Linked DNA regions of Mus musculus: region 1 is reported to be linked to region 2. The links are microRNA targets in miRTarBase. Many come from high-throughput screens and were not tested one by one. Region 2 holds a microRNA gene; the other region holds the end of a gene's coding sequence.
What was found. The annotated mature microRNA mmu-miR-363-5p reads CAGGUGGAACACGAUGCAAUUU and lies in region 2 at 2,546-2,567, opposite strand. An mRNA with a match to its seed (bases 2 to 7 or 8) in the 3' UTR can be bound and repressed. Matches are read on the target gene's strand: a 7mer-m8 pairs with bases 2 to 8, a 7mer-A1 pairs with bases 2 to 7 and ends in A, and an 8mer does both.

Region 1: miRTarBase lists Rfxank as a target of mmu-miR-363-5p. Seed matches in the 3' UTR shown: 7mer-m8 at 1,430-1,436 and 7mer-m8 at 2,312-2,318.

Annotation. Positions count from the first base shown.
Region 1 is chr8:70,127,241-70,134,554 of GRCm38, reverse strand. It overlaps Rfxank (regulatory factor X-associated ankyrin-containing protein), which reads left to right. Exons shown (of 9, transcript NM_011266.2): 8 at 249-329; 9 at 1,092-3,749. The coding sequence ends at 1,162. It overlaps Nr2c2ap (nuclear receptor 2C2-associated protein), which reads right to left and starts at 3,228. Exons shown (of 5, transcript NM_001025586.2): 1 at 2,956-3,228; 2 at 2,547-2,637; 3 at 2,038-2,143; 4 at 1,901-1,968; 5 at 803-1,458. The coding sequence starts at 2,993. The coding sequence ends at 1,339.
Region 2 is chrX:52,739,195-52,746,534 of GRCm38, forward strand. Mir363 (microRNA 363) reads right to left here and starts at 2,573; the gene lies at 2,499-2,573. Mir92-2 (microRNA 92-2) reads right to left here and starts at 2,734; the gene lies at 2,644-2,734. Mir19b-2 (microRNA 19b-2) reads right to left here and starts at 2,872; the gene lies at 2,789-2,872. It overlaps Mir20b (microRNA 20b), which reads right to left and starts at 2,998; the gene lies at 2,919-2,998. It also overlaps Mir18b, Mir106a and Kis2.

The DNA.
Region 1 (7,314 bases), not on the chromosome of region 2:
AGACAGGGTAGTGTGAGGGGGTTTGTGTTGGATCCTGTCAGCCATGATGAGCCTCCTACCCTCCATGCCTCAGAGACTCTAAACCCTGTTCTTTGGGTAGGGGCTCCTGAAGTCTGGCCACTGTGCTGTGTCAATGGACAAAAGGCAGACCTGTAGTTGTACTGGGGTGGGGAGGGAAGAGTCACTCCAGCCTTCAGTCCCCAAGCCCTGCCATGAGCTCATCTCTGAGTGCCCATTCCTCTTCACAGCCCGGGGTGCTGACCTCACCACAGAGGCTGACTCTGGCTACACCCCAATGGATCTCGCAGTGGCCCTGGGATACCGCAAAGGTGGGCTTGGGATGCTGTGGCAAGCTGAGGGGCTGTGGATGGGGTGGCCACAAAGGCTGTACACGGGGTGTTCCCCATGGGTGCTAGATCCTGGTAGGAAACACGGCCCTTAGCACCCAGGTTGCAGCAGGGACACCAGTGCATGACAAGAGAACACTGCCCCAGGGAGACACAGACACTCAGAGACACTCTGGGGGACACAGACACTCAGGCACACTCTGGGGGGACAAAGACACTCAAGAGACACTCTGGGAGCACACAGACACTCAGACACATTCTGGAGGACACAGACACTCAGACACACTCTGGGGGACACAGACACTCGGAGATACAAACAGCACCATCCAGGCCCAGGGTGGGCGTAGTCTTGGTTATCACCTCCACCCACATCCACACATTGTTCCTCTTGGTGGTGGGGTGGGCATCCCAGACTTCCATTCCTGTTGCTGTAACAGAGTACCACAAATGGGGTGTTTGGTTTTTTTTAACATTTTATTTGGACTCATGGTTCTGGAGGCAGAGAGAGCTACAATTCGGAGGGTGGGTGGGATACAGGAGTGAAGGGAGACAGGCAAACCTTGCCTTAAAGCAACCTATTCTCAAGGTAGTGAGCCCAGCCCAGCAAGAACAGAAAAGCAGAAAAGCACTTGGCTGGACAGTTTCCTGCTCACGGCCTCCTGTTTACATCAGAGGCTGAGCATCTTCTTCAGTCCCTTCTTCCCGGCTCCCCCAGCTCACCCCTCCTCCCACCTCCTCCCACAGTGCAACAGGTGATGGAGAGCCACATCCTCAGATTGTTCCAGAGCACCCTGGGGCCTGTGGACCCCGAGTGAAGACAGCCTGCTGGGAACCCAGGCACTCAGGGACAGTCAGCCCACAACTGGCTTGAAAGGCAGCTCCTGGACAGTGGTGGGAAGAGCCCTCCGCAACAGGAACCAATAAATCTGTGCAGAACTTGAAGGTCTTCAGGGTGCCTCCCAGGGGGGCTTCCTGGAAGAATAGCCGCTTCTCACCCTGCCTTCTCACCCAGCACCCGCAGGTGGTAGATGACTACACGGCCAAAAAAGTCGGTGGTGTCCTCAAAAGTCAACTTCAGTCGGTCCACCTCCATTGTGGGGATGGAGAAGGTGTGACTTCTTGCAGTCAAGGAAATGGTGGTTTTATCTCTGACCCATCAGGCCCCACCTTCCCAGTCCAGAGACCACCCGATGGGCCACTGACTAAAGGCTCTTGATTCTCATACCCAGCAAGAAATCAATAGCACCTTTTTTTCTTTTTCTTTTAAATATGGGGGTCTCAGGTAACCCAGGCTGGCCTCAAACTGTAGTTGAGGCTGACCTTGAACTCCTGATCTTCCTGCTGCCCCTCCAGGGCACTAAAGCACAGAGAAGCAGTTCCTACTCCTGCGGAGGAGGTCAAAGCTTTGATTCTTTTGAGACAGGGTCTGGTCCAAGCTGGCCTGGCATTCTGGATCCTCCTGCCCCAGCCTCCCCAGTGCCATTACCACCACACCCAAAGACCTGAAGCTTGTAGAAAACCAGATCCCTCCCACCACAAGACAGGCAGGATATCTGAAGGGCATTGGTGTCCTCAGGGTAGAAATCTACAATCTTGCTGAGTGCCTCCCCACCCCGTGAACCTGCAATGGAGAAATGGGCTAAGAATCCAGGGAACCCTGTGGACACCCCACCTCTCAGCTTTCTTGTACCTTCCAGGCAGCTGTGGCGACTGGAGAAGCCACCCTGGAACTGCACCTGCAGCTGTGTGATCTGAACACACTGGGGAAACTCGAGTGACACCCACTGGGAGGGGCCCTGGAAGCAGAGGGATAAACTGAGGCACTTGGTAACTGCAAGGTTAGGGCCCTATGATGTTCTGTTCATCTTTCTTTCTTTTTTTTTTCCCCAAGACAGGGTTTCTCTGTGTAGCTCTGGCTGTCCTGGAACTCACTTTGTAGACCAGGCTGGCCTCGAACTCAGAGATCCACCTGCCTCTGCCTCCCAAGTGCTGGGATTAAAGGCGTGTGCCACCACTGCCCGCCTTTTTTGTTTGTTTGTTTTTTGTCTGTTCATCTTTCAAGTGTCACTGCCACGGCCAGCACAGGAAGGGTACAAGCACACTGTGCTTTCTAGTCTCCCCAGAGATCTCAAGGCACCCTGTAACCTTGCATCTTCTACACCCCTACACTTGGAATGAAGGGGTATAGAAGCACCTCACCTGGTCAGAGTTCCAGCACGTCTCTTCATCCTGGTCAAAAAGATGTTTCTTTCCAAATTGCCGGCTGTTGCGATTGAGCACAGAACTGACCCTGCAGGACAGGACCAGGTTAGGGGCCTCAACACTTGGACATCCTTGCTGTGAGCCACCCACCAGGCCGGCCGGCCCCACACCCAAGAACTCTGCTACCAACAGCCAGGAACTTAACTACCAGACCGCACCCCCAGCCAGGGAACAGATGCACCAGGCAACACACCACTTAAACCACGGGACTCTACCACCTGGCTCCGCCCCCAGGCTGCTCCAGGTTCCTGATTCTGGACCCCAGCTAGCTGCCATCTGGGCCTCGTCTCCACAACTCAGCTCCCAGTTCTTCCGCCCCCGCGCCCAGATCTACACTGAGTCTCACCTGCTCACAGTGTCCGGACAAACCAAAGACTGAGTCATCACAGTTCTAGGATGACTCGCGGAACGCGAGTTCGAAGCCCGGCGCTGCCACTCCCAACTTGATCTAGCGGCCACACTCCCTACCCCCGGCCACCTCTATATGACAAGGTGGGCGATCTGGGAACCGGAGGAACACTAAAAGCAGCTTTCTAAACCAACCGAGCCCCAGCGGCTCTGCAGATCTACGAACCCGGAACCGCGTGCGGATAGCGCACGCGCAGTGCTACACAGACACTGTTCCGTTCGCGGGGCCGGGGCGGGGTTTATGGCACCTCCCCTTCGCCTCTTAAAGGGCCCTCACACTGAGGTTTCTGGTTCTGTTGAACTACACACCTAGTGGCTACAAAATGTTCCCATGGCCTTCCTGTGATCATGTCTACCTGCAGAAGGCCTTGCTCGCCGTGGATGCAGCTTGGGAGCCCTGCACCCCATTGCCTTCCAAAGAGGCCAAAATAAATGTTGAAGAGGCCGTGCTACTGGGTGCATCAGTCACCCCCAGCCCTTGCGTCCTGCTCCGACCCTAAATCCATCTCCTGCAGGGCTTACGTTTCATGCTAACATGGACAGTAGCAGATCTGCCTAATATATTTTTGAGACAGGGTCTCGTGTAGATTTGGCTGCCCGGAATTTGCCTCGCAGGTAATGGCCGCCTAGACTCCCAGAAATCCTCCTGCCTCTGCCTCCTGAGCCCTGGGATTAAAGGCATGCACCTTCACGCCCCGTATTGGGATTAAAGTATATTTTTTAATTAAAAACACTTTAATGTGTAATGAGTGTTTTGCTTGAGTGTTTGTATACTATACATGTCTGGTAATTGTCCATCCAGAAGAGAACATGGGATCTCCTGTACCACCACTTCCAGTGAGGCTGCTGGAAACCGACTGTAGGTCCTCTGCGAGAACAGGAAGTGCTCTCAAACATTTTCCAGAGTCTACTTTTTGTATTACTTTTATTAATATGTGGAAGTTAGAGCATAACGTGTAGGAGTTAGCTTTCTCCTTTCACCGCATGGGTCCTGGGGATTGCATTTGAGTCATCAGGGTCAGCTACTTTACCAACTGAGCCATCTCCTCAGCTAAGGAGCTCAATAGCAGGCTGCCCAGAAAGTGCAAGGCACTGGGTCCCATCACCAGCGCGAAGGATAAATCAGTCTCTCAGCGAATGCTTTCCTAACATGTTATGGAAGACTTGGTCAAAGAATGGTGTAAGGTGGATTTCAGAGGATGCAGAGGAGTGTGTCCCAGTGGGAGCAAACAAAACCAGACATAGACACCCCAAACATCATGGGTTCAGGGATGAGTCACAGGAACAAAGAGACTGAAGAAGCAGGGAGACTTTCTAAAGGAAGGGCTTTCTGGAAGAGAAAGAGTTCCAGGCCAGGGATTAGCAAAAACATAGAATCAGGTGACACAGACAACAGGTTTGAATGAGAGCTAGGGAGCCACTTCCCACTGGTCTGCAGCAGCTTTGGGGAGAGGGTGGAACCCCAGCCTGCTCTCTGAATGAAGACTCCCAAGACAGAGCAGCCTCTGGGTTGAATGGCCTCTGATCTTTCCTCTTTCTGTGAGCGCCAGAGGGTTCCTTAGCATCCCACCGGTGTCTCCTAAGTCCGCCCCAGGAAGCAGGCCTGGCAGGGTAACTGGGTCACATCAGGAGGGATGCCCTGCCAGCCCAGAAATGCAGGGCCTTCCTTGCCAGGCCATCCAGCTTCAGCCTAGCTGTTTTCCAAGGCCATGCGTCATTAAACGTTTGGCTATGTGTTCTCAGACAAACCTTTGACCTCTGAGCTCAACTTCCTGCCTGTGAAAAGTAGGCCCTTTGGGTTGACGCCCAGTAACAATGACACTTGGGACACTAGGGCTCATAGACAAGTCTGTCTCTAGGCATGGACTCATCACTACCCTGCCAATGGCTGGCTGTGTTACCTCTATGGCACTCAACACAAAAAAGGTGGCTGTGGTGCCTGAAGAGACTGCATAGAATCCCAGCCGCCATCCTTCCTGTATTGCTTCTGGCCCTGGCATGAGGCTGCCTGGCCCCCTGGGACACTGCCAGCTCCCTACTCTCTTCCCGCCTCCTCACCCCACTGGCGCCTGGGCATGAAAGAGCCTCCTGTTTCACCAGGGAATTAGTAGCTCTGAGTTCCCAGTGAAGTAGCCAACATGGTGCATTCATCCCTGAGTCAGGGAGCCTGAGAGCCGCCTCCTTCCCGTCCCCCTCCAAGCCCTGAAGCAGGAGGGTGTCACATGGAGGACTGGGTCTATCTAGCCCATTCCCAACCCTGGACTGTTTTTTTTTTGTTTGTTTTTTTTTTTAGTTCTTTGGGGCTTTTTGGGGTTTTGTTTTGTTTTGTTTGTTTTTGTTTTTGTTTTCAAGACAAGGTCTCTCTCTGTAGCCCTGACTGTCCTGGAGATCACTGTGTGGCCGGTCTCAAACTCACAGAGATCCACCTGTGTCTGCCTTGCAAGTGTTGAGATTAAAGTCATACATCACTACACTTGGCTTTTCTATTTATTTATGTATTTGTTTATTTAATGAGACAGGATTTTCCGTAGCCCAGGATGGCCTCAGATTTACTATGCAGTCAAGAAAATAGTCATAAACTCCCAATCCTCCTCAGGTGGTTGGTGGCACTGTGTATGACTATCCACTATGACCTTGGCTATATTCCTGTACAATTAGAGGGGCACTATCCCTGAGACCTGGTTGTCTAGGAGCTTCCATCCACCCACGTGACCTCTGAGCCACTCTGCTGCCCCCTCACCTCATCTCCTGAAGCTAACTTCAGGGTGCCAGTAACAGACAGGGACTTCCAGGCTGGAGATGGGGACCTTCTAAATCCCAGAGTGGGCCTATAAATAGCTCTTTGAGCCTTGCAGATTCCCAGGCAAGGGTCCCTCACCCCAGGCTGCAGCACCAGCAGGTCTGGGCCCTGGGCCAGTTTCTCTTTTCAGCCTTGGCACCAGCTCAGGAATGGGTTTGGTGAGGCGCCCGAGGGTCAGCTTGGCTCTGGGACCTCAGAGCAGGCCTGTGAATCTCCAAGCAGGGCATCCCATCTCCCTTAGTCTCAGTTTCCTCAGCAAACTCCAAAAGGAACAACAAGATGGTAACCTGCTGGGTGTGATGAAGTATGCCTTGTCCTAGCATTCGGGAGGTTTAGACAGGAGAATCACAAAATCAGGCTCTTCCTCAGGTACTTAGGATGCTGTGTGCTAGCCTAGGCTGGTACTTGGCCTAAAAAAATACAAAAATGGTAAACACATGCTCATGTTGGCTTAAATTTTTTAAAAAGATTTATTTATTTATTTAATGTATGTGAGTACACTGTAGCTGTACAGATTTATTATTTATTTATTTATTTAATGTATGTGAGTACACTATAGCTGTACAGATGGCTGTGAGCCTTCATGTGGTTGTTGGGAATTGAATTTCAGGACCTCTGCTTGCTCCAATCCACCCTGCTCATTCAGGTCAACCCTGTTCGCTGTAATCAACCCCGCTCTCTGCTGAGCCATCTCGCTAGCCCGGCTTAGTTAAAAAAAAAAAAAGATTTATTTATTATTATATGTAAGTACACTGTAGCTGTCTTCAGATACTCCAGAAGAGGGCATCAGATCTCATTACAGATGGTTGCTGGAAATTGAACTTGGGACCTCTGGAAGAGCAATCAGTGCTCTTAACCACTGAGCCATCTCTCCAGCCCCTTAAATTTCTTTAAAGTTACTTTTAATAAGGGTTCTTAAAAGCCAGGCAGTGGTGACACACGTCTTTAATCCCAGCACTTAGGAGGCAGAGACAGGCAGATTTCTGAGTTTGAGGCCAACCTGGTCTACAGAGTGAGTTCCATGACAGCCAGGACTATACAGAGAAGCCATGTCTAGAAAAAAAATGATAATAATAAAATAAGGGTTCTTAAATACTTTAACCTCCCTTCTAGCCCACCACTCACCAGAGGTATGGAAAAGAAAGGTTATTAGGATACTGGGGAAGTGGACCTGTTTAGAAATAGTTCTTTGGAGCAGCTTCCATCTGCTTGTCAGAATGTACACCAGCGGTCCAGTTCAGTAGAGTTGGGATAGCAAACATGAATCAGCAGCGGTGGCACGGCCTAGGAGAGACAACCAGGCCTCAGGCAAGTTGGCATGAGCCAGCAGGAGGGACCAGGACCAGCAGGAACTTAAGGAGAAGTTCTCTGCTGTGTCTTTCTCAATGAAGTGAAGATCAGCAAAGATGAAGACAAGAGACCAATGAGGCGCTGCAAAGCCAGCTATAGAAGCTATGTCTGTTGGGTCCTCTCTACTCCATCCACAGCTCCTCCCAT
Region 2 (7,340 bases):
CATGCCTAGTAAAACTAGTAACTACAGTTACCTTCTGGATACGTGCCACCTTAAGTACCAGTGGACTACCAATGGCAATACACTTGTATTAAAGCAGACCCCTAGTAGTACTAAAGATTATAACAAATAAGCTTTAATCCCCACTTTTTAAATCTACTTTATTAGAAGGGAAGGAGGTCTTTGCTACCACATCAAACTTAACTACAATTAGGCACCAATAAAATACTAAGTCATAGCACAGGAAGTATCTCATTATTTTGTTTCTGTAATTACTTCAAACATTAGTGACTTAAGAAAATCCTACATACTTAATAGAGAATTTACTAGCCTCCATCTCTTTTCATTAAGATTTCATGTCATCACAGCAGTTAAAATCCATGTTCTTGACCACTCTTCACCTCCCAAGGAGAACAGAAGCCCCACCTCACTGGTGTAGGACCAATGTTATCACTGTATTTTCCCTAATGAAATGGAAGCTTAGGGAACTAGCTCAAAGGTGAAGTATAATTCAGTAAAAAAATTCTAACTAAATTGAACCTATGTAATGAGGTCCCCAAAAAGTAATAAAAGGCTTTCAAAGTTGGGAAATTCCAAGGCACAAAGAATGACACATAGTGATACCTCTCCCTTCTGATGAGAACTCAATGTTCAGATAGGTAAAACCAACACATACCTACCTAGTTTTTCCACTTACCAAAGACAGGGCAGTGTTAACATTAACACATGAAACAGAATGAGAAAGTGGGGTAAAAAATGTGCCTGAGTCCTTTCAACTTTATGAATTTGAAACTTAAAATAGAACCGGGCGTTTTTTTTTTTTTAACCTATAGTTCTTTGGGCGAGCACCATCAGCACCTGAGACTGGGTTACAAAGGCAAATCCTGAGGGCTCACCTGATGACAGTCACTCTCTGGAGATGGGACTGGCAGGGTTTTCAGTAGTGATAAAACCAAAGACTCAACGCAAACTTAAATTCCAGTTATATTCAAATGTTCCTTCAAGACATACCCTATAAAATTTGTTTTCAGCTCAGTGGGGGAAGGGCACTTGCCATCGGGCCTAAGAAATCTAAGATGTATGTCCATGACCCACATGACTAGCTCCCTACAGTTGTTCTCAAATCACCACATGACACACACACTAAATAAGTAGATAGATAGATAGATAGATAGATAGATAGATAGATAGATAGATAGATAGATAAATGTATGTAAATGCTGGAAGTCTAGGAGTGGAGGGGTGCCTACCTTTAATCTCAGCATTCTAGAAGCAGAAACACACAGATCTCCGCAAGTTCAAGGCTAGCCTAGTTTACAAATTGAGTTCCAAGCTAACCAGAGCTACATACCAAGACGCTATTTTAGAAAAGCCAATAGTATTGCTAATTTAAAAAGAGAGCCATTGCCATATCCAGGGATCCATCCCATAATCAGCTTCCAAACGCTGACACCATTGCATACACTAGCAAGATTTTCCTGAAAGGACCCAGATATAGCTGTCTCTTGTGAGACTATGCTGGGGCCTAGCAAACACAGAAGTGGATGATCACAGTCAGCTATTGGATGGATCACAGGGTCCCCAATGGAGGAGCTAGAGAAAGTACCCAAGGAGCTAAAGGGATCTGCAACCCTATAGGTGGAACAACAATATGAACTAACCAGTACCCCGGAGCTCTTGTCTCTAGCTGCATATGTATCAAAAGATGGCCTAGTCAGCCATCACTGGAAAGAGAGGCCCTTTGGACTTGCAAACTTTATATGCCCCAGTACAGGGGAACGCCAGGGCCAAAAAGGGGGAGTGGGTGGGTAGGGGAGTGGGGGTGGGTGGGTATGGGGGACTTTTGGGATAGCATTGGAAATGTAAACGAGGAAAATACCTAATAAAAAAAAAGAGAGAAAAAAAAGAGAGCCCCAGGCTGGAGAGATGGCTCAGTGGTTAAGAGCACTGACTGCTCTTCCAGCGGTACTGAGTTCAAATCCCAGCAACCACATGGTGGCTCACAACCATCTGGAATGGGGTCTGATGCCACCTTCTGGTGTCTATGGAGACAGCTACAGTGTACTTGTCATATAATAAATAAATAAATAAATAAATAAATAGAATCTTTTAAAAAAGAAAAAAGAAACCCATTTTTTTTCAGACTTATATATCAGCTTTATTTTGCAAATTTCAGGTTTGTTTACATTCAGTGCAATCAAAATGTCAGGATTTCAAATATATTTAAAAATATGTAGTTTTAAAAAATTAGACTCCAAGCTGGGCGTGGTGGCGCACGCCTTTGATCCCAGCACTTGGGAGGCAGAGGCAGGCAGATTTCTGAGTTCGAGGCCACCCTGAGTGAGTTCCAGGACAGCCAGGGCTATACAGAGAAACTCTGTCTTGAAAAACCAAAAAAAAAAAAAAAAAATCCACTCCAAATGTGTTCAAAGCAATGACTAGCTAAAGGATTTTACAATCTTACTATAGCACTGATAGACGGCTGTCCACATAGGTCCTGCGGTTTACAGATGGATACCGTGCAATTTTCCTCCTATTACACCAACCAAAATTGCATCGTGTTCCACCTGATAACAGCAAAACAGTTCATTTCATAATTACAGTCTAACATAACTTACAATACTCAGAAACTAAAAGACGATTAAAAACCCTCTTTCTTCCTCAGGCCGGGACAAGTGCAATACTTTATATCTAACACAAGTAATGCCACCAATCCCCACCTGTGGATGAATGGGCATGGATGCTGAAGATGTGCATAAAGGTGTCCATTACGATGCAGAAAGGTACACATTCCCACAATCAGTTTTGCATGGATTTGCACAGCCATATATTCACATATACGCTGAACTGCAAATCTGCAAAACTAATCGTAAGTAGCAATGTCCTTGCGCTGTAGTTGCTTCAACAAGACCTTGGTTGATCCAGGAGTACTAGAAGTGCTCACACTGCAGTAGAGTGGTATAAAAACTACCTGCACTATGAGCACTTTGGCACTACTAGGATCCGAGCTTGTTCTTCTACACAACTGTATACTACAGTCTCCGCCATCTGTTTCTCGGCGAAACACTGAAAGAGCCTTTGAAACTTGTGCCGTTCAAATCATTTCTCAAGATATGCTTTTCAAATGCAAGGTAAGAAGTAGCCTGTGCGAGAAGGGGCATTTAGGGCAGTAGATTGTAAGCTGCTTCACTAACAGCACTAGATGCACCTTAACACAAGAGACACATTACAAGGAGCAGCTCAAAAACATCCACAATCTAACTATGCAGAAACCAGGGGACTCAGCGGCCTCTGATTAAATCACCATGGTAATGTAAGAAGTGCTGGCACTGCAGTAGAACTCAAAAAGCTACCTGCACTGTTAGCACTTTGACATGGCCAAGGCATACTCCAGGAGTGTAACCTTGAAGTCTTCCACGAACTCTTCTTTGCCAGATCTGCAGACTCACCTGGATAAACACACACACACACACACAGCAAGTAAGTGAACTGTGAGTTACTATTTCTAAAACAAGTTTGCCTTCCGTTAAGAGTGCAAATGGGGTTGTGTTACTTCAAACATTAATAAGCTCAATTATTTACACAGACTTAAACATGAATAACACTGGCAATCTCAGAATGTCTGACTCTTAAGAGTAAGAGGATTTTGGACTCCCTCTCCGTCTAAGGAAATTTGAGATTCGCATCCCAGAAAATTTGCAGAGCTGTAATATCCACCATGGTTTTCTAAGAGGCAAGAGCCCAGGAAAAGATGTAAGCAAAAAAATAAATAAATAACATTAGGGTGAGTACTGACGTCTTGAGCTCATCCAGAGCTTTGGGGAGCCACTCGGAAGGTCTCTATGTTTGATTACATGAAGCATCCCTGCCCCCAGCCCATTAAGAGAAAATGATAGAAATTTCAGAGCCGCTTTAAGAAACAGTTTTACACTCTTCACATACCGCACAGATGGCCTAGAGATGTCACATTTTCATCTATTTCAAAGGGCTCTACTTCTGTTTAAACATTTATGGACCCATTTTCTCCATTAAACCTAAAGAAGTCAGATTAGCTCTTTGGCTTCATGTCATTATCTTCCACAGGAAAAACCTCTCTCATTTCCAAGTGTGTATCTTACCCAGGAAAATGCTGCAGAGGACAGTCTGAGGGGTCACGAGCTCCCTCCCTCCCATGATGGAATGTTTGTGTTGATGGGGGGACACCAATAAACTTCAGGGACACAAAACTTGAAATGTGTTCAATGAGAAAGGATATTTTAAATGTTGGAACTTTTCGAAGCCACTTAGTGACTAAGATAGTTCTTAAAACATTTTAAATATAAATTAGCAAAACTTTTGAAGTAAATATGAAATCTGCTTCCTATAGTGCAAGTATTGGCTTATTATACTTTTCTTCTTGAACTGGGTTCCTACAACTAGAGATTTTTGCCTCCACTAAAAATATATTACAAAACCTGACTCAACTTCGCAAAACCATACCTCAGCCCTCCAGAGAAAGCTCCTTCTAGCTAATACCTTTCTTTAACACATCTGCTCTCCATCATATATACTAGAAAGTCGCTGTACAACTTCTAAAATTGCAAAGAGGACCCAGTCTTTTACCATTTCGGGATTTTCTCTGGTCTATTCCCGCATCTTCAGCAGCGGCTCCAGTAGAGATCTGTGAACCTCCTGGGAACGCAGGGTGTGCTCCAGCCAGTCATGCCACGCGCTTAGGTCTTCAAGACACCTTAGCGGCCACCAAAATTAAACAGAAAGAAACAAAGCATTATGGGAAACGGAGTTCTCCATTCAAAGCCCCCAAAACGCGCCAAGCTTAAGCCTCTCCCTCCATTCTCGGGTTGGTGGGAGGGAAACCAAGGTAGGTCGGGAGTCCTCCCGCCCCACACCCCACGTGCACCCTGGCATTTGACCACCCACAAGTTCTCCAGAAACCTTCAGAGCAACAAGGGAGAGTCCTTTTCTCACGAGTTGCCTGGCACCCCTCAACTACACTCAGGTACTTTGCTTTTCTCAAGTCTTGCCAGCTCCATCCCCTCCCACCTTAGTTAACTCTCTGGGATCACAGCTGCGCCCGCGGAGGTACGCATCTCCTGGTCCAGTCATCCAGAACAAGCGCGTAGGGGATCTGCCAGTGACCCGCCCTGGCAGGTGGCGCGCGCGACCATCCCGCTGCTGTCCTGCCTGCCAGGATCAGGGAACCGCACGCATCTTCCTAGAGCTCCTGGCCCTCTGCTCTCCTAGCTGGTGGAGGAGGGAGGGCGGCGAGGAGCCACGTGCAGGAAACGCGCCCCGGCGGCCCACGCACACCTAACCCCCAAAGTGTCCGCGCAGCACCACTTGTGCACACGAGCCTGTGGCAGCGGTCCGTCACCTCGAGCTGCGTCCCAAAGCCCGATCCCTGGGAAAAGCCCGCCCTTCGCCTTTAATAGCCTAGGGGGGAAAGCCCGCCCCCGCCCACTCGGCCCACACAGGAATTAGGAAATGGAACCCCCACACCGCCCAGGCCAAAGCCCACGGTGCCCCAGTGACACACAGGACCCGCTCCCTCAGCCTTGCCCTTCTGTCCCCAACACCAGAGTCCTTCCTTAATCCAAGCACCCATGGGATGCCAGTCTAAACCAGTGCCACAGTCGCCTGCCCAGAATGGCGCACTCATTACTACCTTGTCCGGTCAGGCTCCTGAAGCGCTTGTCCCATCCCCCTCTGGAGATAGGCTACGAGGCCCAAGCAGTTGTGGGACCCAGGTGTCCCCACGTCCCAACGAGTGCGCGCATGCGCACTACCTCACAGCTAGATTGAAAGTGTCCCGAAAGTCTGTAGGAGAGAAGAAATACATACCCGGCATATCCACTCTGCCCATGTGAAAGTTTTCAGTTCTGGCATGTGAAGCTACTGCTGAAGTTTCACACTTGCTGAACGCCACCTTTACCCTTTAAATCAGTTTCCTAGCAGGCATTATGAATGGTAATGTCCCTTGGGTGCACGCACAGATGCCAATTACCTTGCTTTTCCCCCTTCCACAGCTAAGACTCATTTGAGAGAAGGCTGTTTAAAAGCACATCCCAAGTACAAAACTAAAATTATGATTTAGCGTCAATACAAAATTAAGCATACTAGGAGGTTATGGGGCAAAAAAGGATAACCATACTATACTTTCTCTGCTTTGTTGGAGGGCACGGGTCCAAGAGGATAGATATTTGGTGAGTTAGATGGTGGAAAGAGTGATTGACCAGATAACAAATAAACCTGAAGTTACTGAGCACGCACTATCAGGAGAGGGGACACTGGAAGGGATGAGCTGGGGCTCAGAAACGAAGACAGGTCCCTTACTCCCTAACACTGTTGCCTTGGGTGATTGTGGCAGTTCAAAGCTCAAAAGGGAACAAGAGCACCACGTGAGTTTCAATCTGGTGCACAGTAGGGGTTCAGGCGAGCGGATTACTAAGGACTGAAAGACTCCTAAGACTTGTCTCCTGCTCCCTGGCCAGCGGTGGAGCTCAAGCAGAATTGCAGGCTCAGCTCAGGTCTCAGTGATGCAAAGCACCCTCGTTACTCCAATGTGTGTTACTCCTACAGGTGGGCTGCCTTCCACTTTCAAACACCCGCACAAACAGACCTCCCACCGTATGCCAGAGCATCTGTTTGATGCTTTCTGGAAACTATGCAAGCCCAAATTTAATATCCAATCAGATCTCGCTTGTGAGAGTTGCATGGACTGCAATCCAACTTTGGACCTTTAAAGGTAGCTAGTGATGGAGAGGTGTGGAAACATATCTCAGACCCTCTTTTAAGAGACATTGTATTAAAGCAGGATTTAAAAAAAAAAAAAACCTCAATGAGCTCAAGCAAAACCTGGGGGAGGGTTGTAAAAGTGGCGCGAAGATAATATCACGTGGTCGGACCCCAGGATGTCTCCTTCCCCTTTTGTCACCCCCCCGGGGGGGAGGAGTTGGGGAGTTACATCCGCTTCTCGCAAATTATTAACATAATTAATTGTGCCCTGCAGCTGCAGTGGGAGCGCTGGGAACGAGTAAACACATTCCCTTGAGCATCAGAATGAGAAAACCCATTACCCCGATTTTGGAATATTTTCCCAAAGAAACCTCACTACCAACAGTCACCCGGACTACGCGTCTTGGTTAAGAGACAGAAGAGAGCTGGAAGAGATGAAAATATCCTATGAGATGAGTACAAGTAGATGCAGCCTGCCTAAAATGAAATTAAGAGGATGGTTTCAATGCCGTGGTGAGGGACCCCACTTAAGAATTTCCAAATTTTAACAGTTCATTAAACAAACTATCCTCCCATGGTCTTCCCACCCCCACCCCAGTTTTCAACCC